Regions from separate parts of the Mus musculus genome. Here region 2 is reported to be linked to region 1. Evidence: microRNA targets listed by miRTarBase, many of them from high-throughput screens and not tested one by one. Region 1 holds a microRNA gene; the other region holds the end of a gene's coding sequence.
The links. Region 1 holds the annotated microRNA mmu-miR-7078-3p (UACUUUUUUUAUCAUCCACAG, at 2,072-2,092, shown strand). A microRNA usually pairs through its seed, bases 2 to 8, with sites in the 3' UTR of a target mRNA and lowers its output. Matches are read on the target gene's strand: a 7mer-m8 pairs with bases 2 to 8, a 7mer-A1 pairs with bases 2 to 7 and ends in A, and an 8mer does both.

Region 1 (3,150 bases):
CAGAGTGAGAGGGGGGGTTGGTATATCTAAGCAAAGGCTCTGAAGCAGAGAAGATAGGCAGGCCCTGGCCGTAGCGAGCCTGGCTGGAAAGTGAGAACTGATAGAAGTCCTCATGGTCACAGAAGGACTAGGTTTTATCCAGTGTCAGGAACAATCCTGGGGGCTCTTGGAGGAGGGGGTACCACGTCCTAGTTTTAAGACCTTAGCTGTCTGGAAGATGGACTGTGGGAGCAGGAGTCAGGGTAGAAGCAGGCTGTGTGTCCACTAGGCTGGGGCAGAGAGGAGAGCATATATGTGGCAGCAGGCATGTGTCATCATCCATCAGAGGACACGTGCTTCTTAGGGAGGTGGAGGCAGGGCCTTCAGCACGTTTTGCTTTGGATCCCCGAGACACAGTAGCATCCCAGAAGCCCCTGTCAGAGGGTCCCCATAAGCCCTTGGTCAGGGTCCTCCTTCACTGAGGTCTCCCAGTGGCCCTGCAGCTACTACCAACTGCTGTCTTTGGACTTCCCATAGCTGGGCTTACTCTCTGATTCAAGCCTAGACCTAACACCCGCTGAGCCCAGTGGACAGACTTATACCACTTCCGGTGTCTCTGAGGCCACCCGCTCTGTGCGTTGATGGTTCACTATGCAGGCCAGCCCAGTCTCTCTGTACCAAACAGCAGCTGCCATGATTTGTCACCAGAGAAGTCCCTGAATCCCAGAGGACACAGGACTTAGGGGGCAGCAGTGGGGCCCACCCCTGTAGAGCTAGGCACACTTAAGATGACTCTGCAGACCAGTGCTCACAGCATTTGGGCCAGGTTTGGAAGAAATGTGGCCCCAGGACACACGCCTAGCTACATCTGTGCATTTACACACAAACACACCACAGGTACCTGGGCAGTTTAAGAAGCATAGCTCTCGGGGTATCCTGCACTCAAATTCCCCCAAAACCCCAGAGCCCCAAGAATCAAGTGGGAGAGGCTGCTTATGAGGAAAACTCACTTTCCTTTGTTTCTTTTCAGAGAGAGAGAGAAAGGGAGAGAGGGAGAGAGAGGGCGCCACATGTGTGGGGGTACACTCAGAGGGCAGACAGATTCTATGGGGCTGGAGTTATAGGTGGTTGAGAGCCATCTGACGTGGGTGCTGGCAGCAATGGCTGATCTGTCTAGTTCCTACTGTCTTTTTTTAAAAGATTAATGCTTGTTTTCCCCCTCCCCCCACCCCGCCGTGTGTGTGTGTGTGTGTGTGTGTGTGTGTGTGTGTGTGTGTACATGTATGCATGGAGATGCATGCATATTATTGAATGGTACTGGTAGGTACACAGGCATGTTAGGAAGACAGGAAATAGAGGCAGGAAGCCATTAATGAGTTCCAGGCAGCACTATACAGTGAAGGAATGAGCCAGCTGTTGAGAGGCTAGTCTACCAGCGGGAACAAAAAGGAGGAGCTAAGAAGAGTCTTGCAAGTTGATTGGCCTTTGTCCCACACCCAGTACCATATAAACCCGATGAGGTAATGCATGCTCCATCACTCGGAGCTGAAGACAGAAGGATTAGAAGTGAGGGGTCATCTTTAGCTTCATACCTGTTTGAGGCCAGCCTGGGCTGCATGAAGCTCTGTCTCAAATAAACAAATGTAATAAAAGTTATCAGGTGAAAGAAACCATACTGAGGTTTAAGGATAGAGGAAGCTAAGTGGAGTCCAAGCTGGCTGCTGGTGTGTTCTGATCCCTCACCCCCTCTGACTATTCTGTTAGCAATGGGAAGGGACCTATGGAAGTCCCGTCTGATTTCGTGGCGCTCGGGAGCTTTCCCAGAATGCTACGGTTAACCCTAAATGCCACCTGGGAGCCAGAGACAGGGCTCAGTTTAGCTGTGATCACGAGAAAACAAGCCTCAGGACATCAGATGTGTCGTCCAATTTCAGAAGGCAATTAAAATTGTATCTACTCTGGGTGATGGATGTCTTTGAGGCCACCTGTGCCCTGGGTCACCAGCCCAACCCCTTCCAGAGCCCTGAGATCCCACAGCCTCATAGTGGACAGGGTGTGGGTGGTAGGAGACGCTGGCTGGTATTTGACCAGGTACTTTTTTTATCATCCACAGGCCAAGCTTCCTAACCTAAAGGAGGTTGATGTTCGCTACACGGAAGCCTGGTGAAGCCCCCTCTGTGCACAGGATGGGCTCGCACAAAACAAAACAAAAAAGAAACAAAAACAAAAAAAGAAACAAACAAACAAACAAAAAAAAACCCGACTCTTGACTAATAGCCGTAGAGCAGAGCAGTGGGTCCCGGGGTGGTCCCAGCACCTGGCTGCGGGATAGATGGGGGAGTCTTGGGGGGGCGGAGGGGGGACGGGTGGGGAATCCTCGGCACGCCCAGCCCCCACCTAATTCTTAGAGCTTCATATTGGAACCTTTGACCTTGATCAAAAGCAGCCTTGGTGGCAACAAGAGGAAGAACTGCGGGTAGGGAGGGCAGGGGAGGGGTGGGGGGGTTCCCTTTGTGGATTTTCTTTGCCTTTTGTTGTGTGATACCGTAGGGGGGGGCGGGGGGAGGGCATTCATCCAGCCTGATGCTGTCCACTCGGGCCAGAAGGAGGACGCTTTCTTCCTGGAGGTGCACCGAGCCGAGATCTCGCCCCTACCATTGGGACAGGAATGTCATGTCACCCCATCGTCCTGTGTCTCCCACCATCGCTATGCAAAGTGGTTCTTGTTGTACATAAGATTTAAATAACGCACCTATTTAAGAAACGTTGACAAATTGTGGGTCTGGGACCCGCTCTTATTTATGAAGTCTTTGACCGGCCCTCCCTCCTCACCTGCCCCCACTTGCCTGCCCTTCTCACCTCCCCCATGGCGTGTAGTACTGTCTGGACCAGTCAGCTGTCGGGTTAGTGCTAGTGGTTCTGTTTTGTTTTTGTTTTTTGTTTTTTAAGGAAACAAACAACAACAGGGGGGGAAAAAAAAAAGACCTTTGGAAACTTAATTGCTTTTTTTTCTTAAGGGACTCTTGTATGCTAATGCTCTCCTGGTCAGTCAGTCTGCCCACTCGCTACTCTGTATAATTTCCATGTGTCTCCAGTTTCCTTGTGGGTGGGGATCAAGGTGGGAGGGAAGAGGAAGAAAGAGATAGATTCTCCACGTTGTAGCTCACACCT
Region 2 (3,000 bases), not on the chromosome of region 1:
CAGGGAAGAGGTTTAGACAGAGGGAGAAACAGTGGCTTGGAAAACAATGATTGAAGAAATGATGAAGAACTACAGACATCTAAGGAGTGCTGAGAGTGGGCAAATTGTTTTGCTCAGGGAAGATTTAGATACTAAGGGAACAGGGCCAGCCACAAGAGTGAAAAGTCCAGCCCTGGGGGAACCAATGACTCTGGCCTCAGGTTAGAAGCACCTGCACATACCATACGAAAAACAAATCTTACGGATTGAAGGGCTATAGATACTTGAAGATCAATAGCACTATCAATTCCCTTAGGAATTTATGCCTGCCTCTACCTTTCCAGGATTAAAGACCTGCACTCTTACGCCCAGATCTCTACTTTACTAAAAAAAGCATTCCTTAGTGTCTAAGAAATGACCAATGAATCTCGTCCGCCACAGGAAGCCACTCTATAGTCTGCTTACGCTACTGAACACTTCCAATGTAGTAATGGTATGCTCAAAGGCTGAGAACATGGCTCAGAGAACATCTGCCTATCATGTAGCCAGGGTTAGATACTTTAAGGGGGAAAAAATCAACTGAACATAAAACTGAGTTATTAATTACACTTAATGGCTTCCCAATTTCCTTAAAATTCTGTCTGAGTATGTGACAGCAACAGTGTAGGTGTGCCCAGAGGACACCATGCAGGCCCCTCTTCACTATGTGGACTCCAAAAGTCAAGACCTGGCAGCACTCACTTAACTACTTTGCTGAATAATAGTTACATCTGTACTACTAGTTGTAACAGACTAGTTGTCAATTTGAAATAGGACTAGAGTTCTAAAAGTACAGCATTTTAACCGGAGCATTTCACTTAGAGATCTTTCTTACAAGTGGTACAAACGCCCCCTGTGGGCTCTTCAATGAAATGCCTGATTGGTCAACACAAACCCAAAACCATAATGCTAATACCAATAACTAACCACTTTGGTCCTCTCTCTCTCTCTCTTTTTATTTTGTCCTGAATACATGTCTTAAAACTTTCAAAACCAAACTTTAAATGGTATTAATACTGTTCAAGTACAATTTCAACTATCAGCTTTGATGTGGACAGAAGAGCCCCTGCAACAAAAACAAAACAACAAAACCACTCCTTCCCCTAAAAGGGAAACTGCTATTAAGAGTCTAGTAAGTACCAGCATAGCGTATCTCCTTCCAACCTACAAGGATTAAGAGACTGTTTCCAGGGGTACATGTGTACACCATGAGATAGTATTGTTGCCAGCCTTCTCCTCCCAGCCCAGGGGTGAACTCAGGTCTGGCTGGGTGGGAAGCACCTTTACAGGCTGAGCAATGTGTTCTTTTTAAATAGTCACTTTTGCTCAAGATCTCCTCTACAGAAAACTGCTGACATTTTATCAGTTCCCACAATTTTCTTTAAATGTTAACAAATGGGGGGGGGGGGAAACCAACACCCAGGATAAAGGATTTAATCCAGTATTTATTCCACACTCATGATGGTTTTCTGAAATCAGAATACAAGTCATAAGAACAATCTATCAAATAATTTGCTGATAGTCTTAAATAACGCAGCACTGCATTACTGGTAATATTTCTGTCCTAGATTAAGTTTAAAAACTCAAACAGCAATCTTCATTATCAATAAAAAAAGTTTTAAATTCTTAAAAAAGGATACTATATCAAGCTGTTTCATAATTTAAGTATTCTCCATTATAAAATGCTTTGGAAGCTTAGGCTTGACTGCTCCTCTGCTCCTGCGCCCCGCCCTCGCCTGCTCCTGCGCCCCGCCCTCTCCCAATCACTCCTTAGTATAGGGCTGCTACAACGCCAGGCTTACACACTTTAATATAGTACTTTTAAAGTCTGAGAAAGAATTCAAGAGGGAGGGGGAAGCACATTGTAAAAAGGAAAGTAATAAATTTTAGGCATACTAACAGTGTCCCTTTGAGGTAGAATGCTAAAAGGACTTCTGATCAAATCTAAGCCTAATTTAAACCTCTTAAAAATTCTCTCGAACATTAACTGTGGAGAATAACAACATATTAACAAGAGCTTCCAAGGTAATATACAGTGGACAAGAATGTTAACCCTCCAACTGTTGCCTCCATGTATACTGAAAAACACATAATTCTCCTAAACAAACATCCAAGATCCATTCCCAAAGTCTTTAGCATTCTATTATGAAAAGCACAGCCATGCTAACTTCAGTACACAACCATAATCTCACACCTACAAAACAAAAATAGAATTAGTGGCAGTTTATTGCCTTATACAAATTTAACCAACATGGCAACCATGCCAAAGGAATTAAAACATTTTCCAGGACGTATGTACAGACTGTACATTTTAAAAACAAACAAAAATGCAAGAACATTCTGTGCATCATGTGTCAACTCAACAGGGTGAAAACATCAATGCGTAATGGGATTACAAAGGCACTTCCCTACACAAAAGAAAACACAGCCTACGGGGAGCTCAGAGTGCATAACTACTGCACAATCTCAACTTGGGGGGAAAAAAGCAGAATTTAATCAACATTTATAGGATTCAATGTGATCCAAGTTTACACAATCTTCACACAGTCTCATCTTTGCTTTTGTGTTCCTTTTCTTGGCTCTCTGGCTCTCCACTCTGGCTGCTCTGATGATCCTGTCTGTCTGACTGGTCCTTGCTATCATTATGCTCTCTCTTGTGGGAACGGTCTTGGCTCCTGCTGCGCTTTCTAGACTTCTCTCTGCTAGGGCTGTGTTCTCGTTTTCTCTTTTCAACACTGCCAGTTCTTCCTTGACTGCCACTTCTGCTTCTTTTATTTGCCTTCTCCTTGCTTTCGTTTTTATGTCTGCTTGACTTGTCCTTGCTCCTGCTCCTGCTCCGCTTCCCTGCGTTTCTGCTCCTGCTCCTGTGTTTCCTCTCTCTGCTCCTGCTTCTGCTGTGTTTTTTCTTGGACTCTTTTTTGTCATCTCTGTGTCGTCTGTCCTCCTTGTCTTCTTTGTGCTTCTTCTCTTCTCCATCACCCC

Region 2: miRTarBase lists Prpf38b as a target of mmu-miR-7078-3p. Seed matches in the 3' UTR shown: 7mer-A1 at 1,835-1,841.

Annotation. Positions count from the first base shown.
Region 1 is chr8:117,457,237-117,460,386 of GRCm38, forward strand. Mir7078 (microRNA 7078) reads left to right here and starts at 2,029; the gene lies at 2,029-2,092. Cmip (c-Maf inducing protein) reads left to right here. Exons shown (of 21, transcript NM_001163262.1): 21 at 2,093-3,150. The coding sequence ends at 2,146.
Region 2 is chr3:108,901,362-108,904,361 of GRCm38, forward strand. It overlaps Prpf38b (PRP38 pre-mRNA processing factor 38 (yeast) domain containing B), which reads right to left. Exons shown (of 6, transcript NM_025845.3): 6 at 1,444-3,000. The coding sequence ends at 2,558. Among named protein-coding and RNA genes, the nearest start is that of Prpf38b, 8.9 kb to the right of the region's middle.